Linked DNA regions of Saccharomyces cerevisiae S288C. Changing the gene in region 2 together with the main gene of any one other region gives a genetic interaction. Each region holds a gene or a part of one and is shown on either strand. Other genes may lie near its edges.

Evidence for each region. Genes that interact genetically often act in the same process or in processes that back each other up.
Region 1: mutations in CNE1 (region 2) and CWH41 together harm fitness more than expected from each alone (negative genetic interaction), as found in Saccharomyces cerevisiae (5 studies listed by BioGRID, with this or other methods).
Region 3: mutations in CNE1 (region 2) and GAS1 together harm fitness more than expected from each alone (negative genetic interaction), as found in Saccharomyces cerevisiae (5 studies listed by BioGRID).

The regions. Positions count from the first base shown.
Region 1 is NC_001139.9:442,982-447,837, forward strand, and holds CWH41 (mannosyl-oligosaccharide glucosidase), read right to left. Parts: upstream 3,163-4,856; coding exon 661-3,162; downstream 1-660. Other genes in the region: tryptophan synthase TRP5, read right to left, coding at 3,431-4,856. UniProt on the Saccharomyces cerevisiae protein: Cleaves the distal alpha 1,2-linked glucose residue from the Glc(3)Man(9)GlcNAc(2) oligosaccharide precursor highly specifically. Seems to play a role in beta-1,6-glucan synthesis.
Region 2 is NC_001133.9:35,468-39,472, forward strand, and holds CNE1 (calnexin), read left to right. Parts: upstream 1-1,996; coding exon 1,997-3,505; downstream 3,506-4,005. Other genes in the region: BDH1 ((R,R)-butanediol dehydrogenase), read left to right, coding at 1-836; ECM1 (Ecm1p), read left to right, coding at 1,042-1,680; GPB2 (Gpb2p), read left to right, coding at 3,792-4,005. UniProt on the Saccharomyces cerevisiae protein: Interacts with newly synthesized monoglucosylated glycoproteins in the endoplasmic reticulum. It may act in assisting protein assembly and/or in the retention within the ER of unassembled protein subunits.
Region 3 is NC_001145.3:885,491-889,342, reverse strand, and holds GAS1 (1,3-beta-glucanosyltransferase GAS1), read right to left. Parts: upstream 2,341-3,852; coding exon 661-2,340; downstream 1-660. Other genes in the region: importin PSE1, read left to right, coding at 1-391; FKS3 (putative 1,3-beta-D-glucan synthase), read right to left, coding at 2,827-3,852.

The DNA of each region.
Region 1 (4,856 bases), on a different chromosome or scaffold from region 2:
AATAGATTTATTACAGTGGAGGTATGTCAGTAAAGGCTTATTCTTCTAAAAGAGTGGACTGTCTTTGTTGCGTAACTGACGATTATAGTACTGTTGCCTTAATATATAACAGTGTATTTGGATAAGCAGAAGGAAAACACGATCATTGAACTTCAATTTTCTTTCCACTTAAATAGTCCCTCCTCAGATTCTTAATTTGTTTTCGGTGCAGCATATTTTGTTGTCAGTCCTTACACTTTAACATTTTGAGATCTAGTATCCAGCTTGTAAACAATAACATTCCCTAACTTTTATTCATCTTACCGCAGTAAATAGAAAAGACCTCACTTCGCAACCATTAATCCCCAAAAGAAAAAAAAAAATGTGACATTTCATAATGCATGTTTCGAGTGTGTTTTCGATTGTTTATTTGTCTGGCTTTTAGCTGCAATGGCCCAGACTGCTAGTTACCAGTTGCTGGTTTCCACGATTTTTTAACTTTTTCTCACAGCCGCATCGAAATGTAAATAAACGCGAGAAAAAAAAAGCTGAAAATGCTGGCTCTAACTAAGAGATGCGAGGCCCTTTTCGAATAGCTGGAACATTTATAATTTTCATCCTGCATACTGGTACATATCTGGTTACATATCTGTTTATATGACTGAAAATATCTACATAGATTCAGAAGCGTCCAAGGATGTTGACAACAAGTGCTGTCCAGCCTGTGAAATGCTCAGCACCAGTACCATGACCATCTATCGGACTGTAATTTTCATAACAATAACCTTGTTCTTCCCAAACTTTGTATATGTTGTTACTGAGATTAATCTTTAAACTTTGGTACAGTTTCTTGGCATTGCTAGCCTCACCAGCCACGTCGAGAATCACCTCTGGGTAGTAGTATCTCATTGCGTCAAGACACAAGTAATTAATATTCATCCAAATTGGGCCTCTCCAATAGTTTTCATCCTTGCCGAAATAGTCGTCTTGTCTCGATAGTGATAACAGCCCGTAGTCTGAAAAGATTTTTTCTGGGTCACTCATCAAAGCAACTACTTTCTCTAGCTTGGGTGAGTTTTTGGGGATTAGCTTCAATGCAAAGGGCAATACGGAGACGTAACCCTCATGACATACAAACTCCCTAATCTCATCGTCTTCTGGATCGATGCTAATATCACAGTAGCAATTGTCATTTTCACTCCAGTGTAACAAATCCAGATTCTCGACCACCTCTTGCTCAATTTGTGCATATCTTTGCTCGTCCTGTGTTAACTTCAACACGTGAGCAATTTGCTTCATGGATCTTGTCATAACGCCCACCCATGCTAATGCGTCTACGTTCAATTCTGCTACATCTGGTGGTTGTGCTCTAGGATAGTCATCCATACCGCTTGGCAAACAATGAGTGAAGGTACGCCCAACCCATCTATAAACTTCGTTCTTATGAATCTTATCCCATATTCCTTCATCTTCCAATATTTCCTCATATTCATCAATAAGTCCTGTTTGAGATTTTCTGAACCAATTATAGTGCTTCAATAGCTTAGGATAAATTTTCTTGGCATATTCGGTTAGCAAGCCAGGATTGGCTTCTAGATTGTTCGTCATAAACTTGGCTGTCCTACTATTGAACATGACTTGGTGGTAGCTGTCACTGTTGAAATCGCCGATGTTTTCAATGGCCCTAGAAAGCATTTCACTAAATGCTAGCAATAAAGTTGGCGGATTAGCAATATTGGGATTTTGCACCTGAAATTCCTGCGGAACTTTACTCCTTGCCTCATTACCCAGTATAATTTCTCTAGCAATCCAACCACTATCATCTTCGATCATTTCAAACCAGCTCGCTAAGATTTCAAAGGCAAGGTCAAAATCATACTCCATAATTTGTAGAAGATGGAAACCTTCATCCCAATAGAATCCACGTGGGAAAAAGCCACGGCTCGGAACGCTGGTAAACAGTTCAAATGGACCTTCCTCTTTTGCATTCAGCAGTTTGATCTCTGTAAACTGGCTCTCATCAAATTCTGTTTCACGATCAATTAGTTGATTCCCATAGAAATAACCGATTCCTCCTAATAGGTTTGATAGCGTCTCTAAAGCAAATCTTCTTTTGACCTCCACGCTTTCAATTGAGTCGGGACCTTCTCCAAAACTAAACTGCTTATCAAAACGCGCGTTTATCTCATTTAGTGACCAAGTAATCAACTCCGTAACTTGTTCCCTGGTGGAAATACTTTGAGTAGTGCCAAGTTTATTGTAAGTGATATCAAATTGGAACCCATCTTTTTTGGTCAAATCAAATGTCTTTTGTATATAATGAAAATTACCAGGATTAAAATTGTACAAATTTCTAATAGTTAAAACACTTGGTATTAAATCAGCAGGACGCTGCTTTGTCTCTTCCTTTTCCAGTATATCACGTATCGAATCGCTAACTAGAGATTGGAAAACATCACGAGCCTTCCAAACTTCTTTATCCGGGATTTGAAGTGATAAATGACTTGTTTTAGAGCAGTCACTTCCTGGTGCTACTTCCATGGTTTCATATTCCGGATTTTTGAAGTAGTGACCAAAATTGTCCTTTACTGTAAGATGATACTCGCCTAATTCTTTAGAATATCCGAAGAATTTCATGTCATTAGGGCCGTCATGACCTATCATTGCTAAGGAAGATTTTCCATCTATCTCGCCACCATTTTGACTAAAGTACAATACGACAGATGCTGTAGATGGTCTCTTGGGATCCAAAGGCTCACCTTGAACTCTCACTGACCAATTTTCCCCGTTCTTGCTCTTTACAAAATAAACAGTCAAGTTCAAGTTATTTTTTTCATCAATAAAAACTTCTTTACCACCAATTCTTGGATCATACACTTCCCAACCATACTTTTGCAATTTATCCTGAGGCGTTGCAAAATGTCTTAACGAATGTAAGCCATCCTGACTCAAACTGTTGAACCACATGATACCCATAATTAGTGGACTTTCATGGACATATCTGGGCCTCATACCAAAGTAACAATTGGATCTATACGGTGCCCACAGTAAAGATTCATTCGTGAACTTTTGATATTCTTCGAATTCTTGTAGTTTACTAATATCAACGGTGGCAGATGCCAGGAGAACTATGCTGGTTAGTATCCAAAATGTTTTAAACATCTTAGATTTTGAAATAAGCATTGTGAAGCAACCTGAACCGTTATTATCCACTACTTCCTTATTAACAGTTGACGCTAATATAGTGTGTCACGCATACAATAATTGAACTTTTAAATTACGCGAAAATGTGGCTGTTCTGACCGAAATGATCTAAAATTGGTCACGATACTAATCTTGAGCAAATTGAGAGGTAAAAGAGCTGAATATGCTAATGTATCCCGATCGTATATTATATTCGTCTATGTAGTTAAAAAGCTAAATAAAAGCGTTCCTTATCAGATATTACTCATTAGGCAGATGGGTCTTCTTCGAATCTCAAATCCCAACCTATCTTTGGACCTAATTTCGGCAAGACTTCAGCGACACTTTGGACATCTTTATCACCTCTACCAGAAATATTGATAACCAAATGTTGATCAGGCTTCATCGTCTTAGCCAATTCGCAAGCGCCATAAACAGCATGAGAAGATTCCAAAGCGGGAATAATACCTTCTAATTGAGATAATAATTTAAAGCCAAGCAGAGCCTGAGCGTCAGTAGCTGCAATGAATTGAGCACGGCCAGTAGATTTCCAATATGCCAATTCTGGACCGACACCTGGGTAGTCTAACCCAGCAGAAACAGAATGAGTATCATGGACTTGACCATCACTATCTTGCAAGACATAAGTCTTGACACCATGGAAGACACCAGGTCTACCGGCAGTTAGAGTAGCAGAGTGGAACTTTGTATCTACACCATCACCACCGGCTTCCACACCCAATAACTTAACGGAAGTATCATGCTCGAATGGTGAAAACATACCTGTAGAGTTGGAACCACCCCCAACACATGCAACAACTGCGTCAGGTAATTTACCATTGTTCATGGCAGCAAACTGTTCCTTGGTTTCTTTACCAATGACACTTTGGAAAGTTCTAACCAAAGTTGGATATGGGTGAGGACCAATGGCAGAACCGACGACGTAGTAAGTAGTTTTCAAGTTAGTAACCCAAAATCTGAATGCCTCTGAAGTAGCGTCTCTTAGAGTCTTTGTACCATTAGTAACAGCAATTACTTTAGCACCGAGAATTCTCATTCTGAAGACGTTTAAAGCTTGGCGACGAACATCTTCTGCACCCATGAACACAGTACAGGTTAAGCCAAATTTAGCACATGCAGTGGCAGTGGCAACACCGTGTTGACCAGCACCGGTTTCAGCAATAACGTTCTTCTTGCCTAATCTTTTAGCTAGAAGAACTTGTGCTAAAGCATTGTTGATCTTGTGAGATCCCGTGTGGTTAAGATCTTCTCTCTTCAACCAGATTTGAGCACCTTGACAATGCTCAGTTAATCTCTCAGCTTTGTGTAGTGAAGAAGGACGGCCAATATAAGAATACAAGGATTTGAAGTCTTCCCAGAATGTGGGATCGGCGACAGCTTCATCAAAACCCTTTTCCAACTCTCTTAGACATGCATGAAGAGCTTCTGGGACATACTGACCACCAAAGTCCCCAAATCTAATTGGGTGCTTGTGATTTTCATCAAATTCGTCCAGTATTTCCTTCTTAACGTTTGCGGACTTCAAGGACTCTTTTTGAAAGGCAAAGAATTCGTCCTTGGACAGAACCTTATGCTTAGCACCATTTAGAATTCCCTGTACATATTCCTTAGCAACGTCGTACCTTTTGCCCTCTGGAGCATCTCCACATAATGTGACGATTTTGGAACCAATC
Region 2 (4,005 bases):
ACCTGCATTGCTGGCCACACTCCAAATTTTACAATTCCAAACCATGTGATGCTTGTCAGAGGGGCAGTGAAAATCTATGTACCCACGCCGGTTTTGTAGGACTAGGTGTGATCAGTGGTGGCTTTGCTGAACAAGTCGTAGTCTCTCAACATCACATTATCCCGGTTCCAAAGGAAATTCCTCTAGATGTGGCTGCTTTAGTTGAGCCTCTTTCTGTCACCTGGCATGCTGTTAAGATTTCTGGTTTCAAAAAAGGCAGTTCAGCCTTGGTTCTTGGTGCAGGTCCCATTGGGTTGTGTACCATTTTGGTACTTAAGGGAATGGGGGCTAGTAAAATTGTAGTGTCTGAAATTGCAGAGAGAAGAATAGAAATGGCCAAGAAACTGGGCGTTGAGGTGTTCAATCCCTCCAAGCACGGTCATAAATCTATAGAGATACTACGTGGTTTGACCAAGAGCCATGATGGGTTTGATTACAGTTATGATTGTTCTGGTATTCAAGTTACTTTCGAAACCTCTTTGAAGGCATTAACATTCAAGGGGACAGCCACCAACATTGCAGTTTGGGGTCCAAAACCTGTCCCATTCCAACCAATGGATGTGACTCTCCAAGAGAAAGTTATGACTGGTTCGATCGGCTATGTTGTCGAAGACTTCGAAGAAGTTGTTCGTGCCATCCACAACGGAGACATCGCCATGGAAGATTGTAAGCAACTAATCACTGGTAAGCAAAGGATTGAGGACGGTTGGGAAAAGGGATTCCAAGAGTTGATGGATCACAAGGAATCCAACGTTAAGATTCTATTGACGCCTAACAATCACGGTGAAATGAAGTAATGACAAAATAATATTTGGGGCCCCTCGCGGCTCATTTGTAGTATCTAAGATTATGTATTTTCTTTTATAATATTTGTTGTTATGAAACAGACAGAAGTAAGTTTCTGCGACTATATTATTTTTTTTTTTCTTCTTTTTTTTTCCTTTATTCAACTTGGCGATGAGCTGAAAATTTTTTTGGTTAAGGACCCTTTAGAAGTATTGAATGTGGGAACAAAGACGACAAAAGGTAGTTTTTTCCTTGACTATACTGGTAAGATATCGTCTAAAACAAAGCATGGCCAAGAAAATATCAAAGAATTCAAGAGCTGCTAGACAATCGGATGCTCTTGAACCAGAGGTAAAGGATTTAAGTGAACTACCTAGAGCTGAAAAAACCGATTTGACTAATATTTTGATTAGAACAGCAGCCAAGAATGAGGCATTGCTGGAAGCAAAGATATCTAAGAAAGCCAATAAAAGTAAGAGGGGCAAGAAGTTAAATAAAAAGGCTCTGGAAGACAAACTGGCCAACTCTATTTCATCCATGGACAGGGATCGTTTAGTGAAGGCCTTGAATTTTACCAATCGTCTGGACGGTAAAATTGCCAAGTCCATTTCTCGTGCCAAGTACATTCAAAATACAAGAAAGGCTGGCTGGGATAGCACCAATGAGACTATAAAAAAAGAGCTGGCTTTTTTGAACGGAGGGTTGTCTGTGCAGGCAAAAAGTGCTAGTGAAGGTAATGCTGAAAAGGAAGATGAGGAGATCCCAGAAGTTTTTGACTCTTTAGCAGAGGATAACACAGTGCAGAAGACTCCTACAAATAGATTCGGTGTCCTGCCAGACGATGTTGAAGAATAGAAAATTTTCATATGAAAGGTCCTAGGAATACACGATTCTTGTACGCATTCTTCTTTTTTCTATCTTCTTTCATTCTTTGTACATTAGATAACATGGTTTTAGCTTAGTTTTATTTTATTTTTTATATATCTGGATGTATACTATTATTGAAAAACTTCATTAATAGTTACAACTTTTTCAATATCAAGTTGATTAAGAAAAAGAAAATTATTATGGGTTAGCTGAAAACCGTGTGATGCATGTCGTTTAAGGATTGTGTAAAAAAGTGAACGGCAACGCATTTCTAATATAGATAACGGCCACACAAAGTAGTACTATGAAATTTTCTGCGTATTTATGGTGGCTGTTTTTGAATCTAGCGTTGGTGAAAGGCACTTCATTGCTATCCAACGTTACATTAGCGGAAGATTCTTTCTGGGAGCATTTTCAGGCTTACACTAATACAAAGCATTTAAACCAAGAGTGGATCACAAGTGAAGCCGTCAACAATGAAGGCTCTAAAATATATGGTGCACAATGGCGACTATCACAGGGTCGATTGCAAGGATCCGCATGGGATAAAGGAATCGCAGTTCGAACAGGCAATGCCGCAGCTATGATAGGACATCTCTTGGAGACACCTATTAATGTTTCAGAAACGGATACCTTGGTTGTCCAGTACGAAATTAAGTTGGACAATTCTTTGACGTGCGGCGGTGCGTTTATTAAGTTAATGTCTGGTTTCATGAATGTTGAAGCATTAAAACACTATGCACCCGATACAGAGGGTGTCGAGTTAGTTTTTGGTCCGGATTATTGTGCTCCTGAAATAAATGGCGTGCAATTTGCCATCAATAAGGTTGACAAGATCACACATGAATCTAAACTAAGATATTTGCAAGAGATGCCCCTGTCAAAATTAACTGATACCTCGCAATCTCATCTGTATACGCTCATAATAGATGAATCAGCGCAGTCTTTTCAAATTCTTATAGACGGTAAGACGGTTATGGTAAGAGAACATATCGAAGACAAGAAAAAGGTCAATTTTGAGCCACCCATTACACCGCCTTTAATGATTCCTGATGTTTCAGTAGCGAAACCGCATGATTGGGATGATCGCATCCGAATCCCAGATCCTGAGGCGGTGAAGCTCAGTGATCGGGATGAACGAGACCCATTGATGATTCCACATCCAGATGGCACTGAACCACCAGAATGGAACAGCTCCATCCCCGAATACATTCTTGACCCAAATGCTCAAAAGCCCTCGTGGTGGAAGGAACTTGAGCACGGGGAATGGATACCGCCCATGATTAAAAATCCTCTTTGCACTGCAGAACGTGGTTGTGGCCAGCAGATACCAGGGCTGATAAATAATGCCAAGTACAAAGGTCCAGGCGAACTCAATGAAATCATAAATCCCAATTACATGGGGGAATGGCATCCACCGGAAATTGAAAACCCGCTATACTACGAAGAGCAGCACCCATTGCGCATCGAAAACGTTATCAGTGGTGTGATCCTCGAGTTTTGGAGTGGATCTCCAAACATGTTGATAAGCAACATTTATGTTGGTAAAAATGTAACAGAGGCGCAAATTATTGGGAATAAGACTTGGCTGATGAGAGACCGCGCGTTTAGAGGCTCCGATGGCCCCACAGAACGCAAATTCATGAATAGCAGACTAGGAAATCTACAAACAACTTTCCATAACGAAAGAGAATCCCCTAATCCATTTGACCGCATTATAGATCGCATATTAGAGCAACCTCTGAAATTTGTGCTTACTGCGGCCGTCGTGCTCTTGACGACGTCGGTTCTTTGTTGTGTAGTATTTACATAGTGGACAAGTGTTAGTTTATAACATGGTCTCAATAATTGCACCACAACGGCTTCTCTTTTATAGATGGTTAACATTATAGTATCAATATTATCATCATGATTAAATGATGATGTATAATACTTACCCGATGTTAAATCTTATTTTTTCATGCAGTAAGTAATCATGCAACAAGAAAAACCCGTAATTAAGCGAACATAGAACAACTAGCATCCCCGATAAGACGGAATAGAATAGTAAAGATTGTGATTCATTGGCAGGTCCATTGTCGCATTACTAAATCATAGGCATGGAAATTTCCAGTTCACCATGGAACGACGGTGGATACAGCCCCTATGAGAGAAACAGAGTCGCTGTATCACCATTTTCATCAGCGTTGGAAGGCGAAGAACGAATAGAAACCTCTCGATCTTTGGGTGATCATTGCTTTGAACCTTTGCCATACGTGACGAATTATCTTTCTATTTTCGCGCTTTTTGGTAAAGAGATATTTGGTGACAAGG
Region 3 (3,852 bases), on a different chromosome or scaffold from region 2:
TCGTTCTTCAACAGAGAATGCCAGTGCAGCCATCGCCAAAATTCTTTATGCATACAATTCCAACATTCCTAACGTAGACACGTACACGGCTAATTGGTTCAAAACGTTACCAACAATAACTGACAAAGAAGCTGCCTCATTCAACTATCAATTTTTGAGTCAATTGATTGAAAATAATTCGCCAATTGTGTGTGCTCAATCTAATATCTCCGCTGTAGTTGATTCAGTCATACAAGCCTTGAATGAGAGAAGTTTGACCGAAAGGGAAGGCCAAACGGTGATAAGTTCAGTTAAAAAGTTGTTGGGATTTTTGCCTTCTAGTGATGCTATGGCAATTTTCAATAGATATCCAGCTGATATTATGGAGAAAGTACATAAATGGTTTGCATAAAGACGTTTAATAGAAAGAAGAACAATGTTAAGTAGTTCTATAAGGAATATTAAATGAATATTGTCTTTTTTGATGATTTAAAAACATATAATGTAACAATAGTGTTCTTTTTAATTTACCGGTGGTAATAGCGAATAGAATCTTATAAAACTTACATAGAAAAAAAATATATACTATACTTACAACTTTTCATTTTTTTCGTAAAAACTACCCCACAATGAAATAAGATACCATACCTTATCGAGTTATTATGTATGTGTCGAAGCTTTTTAAACCAAAGCAAAACCGACACCAGCGGCAATGGATAAGGAAATGATGGAGGTAAAGACCACTTGTGCTAAGTTAGCTTTAACGTTGGTGGCAGCATTCTTCTTGCTAGAAGATGAAGATGAAGCTGAAGAAGAAGAAGAAGAACTGGAAGAACCAGAAGAGCCGGAGTTAGACTTGGAAGAAGACCCCGAAGCGTTAGAAGAGGCAGTACTGGATTCAGTTCCGGAACCCAAATCAACACTACCTGATGCAGAGTTGGTACCCATACTACCAATCTCTTTCAAAGCGGAGGAGCAACTAGCTTGCGTGGTGGCAGTTTGTAGAGTGGCAGAACCGCTGAAGCTACAGTCAGATTTGCTACCACCACTCTTCTCGTAGTACAAATTCATAACGAAAGATAGCTGTTCCTTTGGTGTACAGAAAGAGTAAGCACCATACTTACCGGCGGTACCGTTTGCTGAAATACCGCTACAGTCGACTTCATTACAGATCCAGTTAAATAAGGTTTCGTAATCATCAGAATCAACGTCATCGGAAACAACACAACTATTGGCTGCATTCATACATGAACACAAGCCTCCGTTTGGAGTTGGTGGTAATTCTGTTGCAGCGGACCAGTACTTACCAGTAGCTGGACAAGCAACATCACTTGTTGTTGCACTGTAAGACTTTGTGTTGGCGGAAGTTGGTGATATTTTGTTGATTTCAGAAGAATAGTTGTTGAAGTCATCCAAAGTTTTAACATCATTACCATCGATGCTAACTAAACCGTATTTGTTAGTCTCTTCGAAGTACATGTATACGATACCACCAGACCAGACATCTGTCATATTAGAACCGTACAAGGCTTCAACCTCAGTAAATAGTCTTGGTGTTACTTCGTTACAACCGTATTCAGAGAAGAAAACAGGAATAGATAAGTTTTTGAATTCTGCAGTTCTATCAGCATAACCAGAAGTTTTGAAGTCAGATTTACCACACCATTCATACATATTAATACCGTAAAAATCAGCCTTAACATCATCATCACCACAAGCGAAATAATCAGTCATCTTAACTCTGGTATCTTCGTCATCATTGGAAGAGTAGCCAACTGGAATTTTTCTGTAGTTCTTGTCGCTGATGTATTGTCTGACGTCTCTAATAGCTGCCTTCACGAAAGCAGATGCATCTGTGTTGGTGTAATTGTTAGTAACTTCATTACCGGCGAAGAAACCCAAAACGTTGGTGTAATTAGCAAAAGTGTCAACAACGGTTTTGTAGCTGTTGAACAAGTCAACAGTCCAAGTTGGATCGTCTCTATTGATAGAGGTGGCTGGAGCTGCTAAATCAGCGATGACATAGATGTCAGCATCATTCAAAGCCTTCATACATTCGGAGTGATCTAGAGTGGTATTGATAGCGTAGACACGGATAACATTTGTGTTCAATTTTTTGAGGTATGGAATATCTCTGGAACAACTCTCATAATTGGCCAAAGGATCGTTGACAGTAGATCCGCTAGTTTCATTAGCGGTATCAGCCTGATAAGCAACACCTCTTATGTAGAACTGACTACCGTTGTTGGAGTAGAAAAACTTATTACCAACAACTTCAATCGCTGGAACATCGTCCGCAGTTGCGACGCCAGCAAAAAAAGCAGCAGCGGTTGCTAACTTTGAAAGGGATTTAAACAACATTGTTGAGATTTAGCTGTGTTTGTTGTTTTTGTTTTATCAGACTTTAAAAATAAAAACTGATTTTGAAATAGCTTAATAAAACGACACAACTATTTATGGATATCTAATTTGTTCGAGGAAAACAACCACGACTTTTCCTCTTAAATAAAAAAATCCGTGTCAACAGTAGTAGAGGGAAAAGTTTTTCAAACCTCGAGGATTATCGGGTATTTTACTAATAAACCGCGCAGGCTGTATGAGGAATACCAAAAGTAGAAATTTCTCATTATTTTCCCGACTTTTCTTTTTCCCATCTCCACGTTTGCGGCACGAAAACTCAGTGTAAAATAAGAAGCAAACAAAACGCGAGCCGCGAAAATATATCGAACTAAAAGTACGCAAAAGAATAGCCAGGGCTGGCCTGTGAATTCATAAAAAGTCTGAGCCGGCTATGATAGGCACCAGCTCGCTTTATCAGCTACTCAAAATAACTTTTTTTTTTTATCCCTATGCGACAGTCCTAAAGGTAGGTAAAGTTGGTGTTGTAGTCAGGATTGTCGATGGAGCATTTGGACCAGTATCGTTGTTGTTTTGGTTGTTAGGTTGGAAGATTCCTTCGAAAAGGGTGCCTTCCAGCAATTCTTGCGGACTAGATACGAAATCACCAGCAAAGAATGGCGCGATGAGCATAAAAAGGAGCACACCTAGCATCACAAAATATAGAGAGAAATATTTTGAAACTATCCTACTTCTTAATGCTCTCTGCTTTCGAGTCAAAATTCTTTTATGCGCGATAATACTTCTTGGATTCATCCAAAATAGCACCATTGTATGCCAGTAATCGATAAATGGTAACAATATTATGGGCGTTTGTATAAATAAGAGGAAGTGACCAAGAAAGAAATCTGCTGCAAAATAACTAGATTCCATAATCTTCACGAAGTATTCTCGTATGGGCTGTAAAATGATAGACCAGCCCATGCCCGTATTGTACCATTTACCATTCCACCATGCCAAATGTGCCTTATTGTTTTTATACTCCCTTGTCAAGAATATCGTCGTAAAGACCTTGAAAAGAATCAGATGCATATTGATGCACGTAATAAGCAGTATCAATGTACGGGTAAAGTTCCAACCTTGTAAGAACCACATCAGTTCGAAATCTAAAAGATAGACCAAAACCGAGAAAGTGTGTGCAATAAACGCAATCACGGCACCTGCGTCTTTACAACAATATGACAATCCAGGAACCACAAAAAGTGAAACCCAAAATAATAGAAAAAGCACTATTGAGTTAAGAAAGATTGGCAAAAAAGTTACGAGCAACAAACGGAAAACAGCGCTAGTTGGTGTTGAGTCAGAGACCCCTGTTTGTGCATTAATGAAAGAAAAAGCGGTGAAGTTGAAGAGGAACACACAGAAAGGTAGAAATAGTTCTGCAAAGAAGACGTTCCAAAACCTCGCTTTCTTTGAATCATGGCCTGAATCTTCGGAAATATCATCTACAGTTTTACTTTTATAGCCCGTAAATCT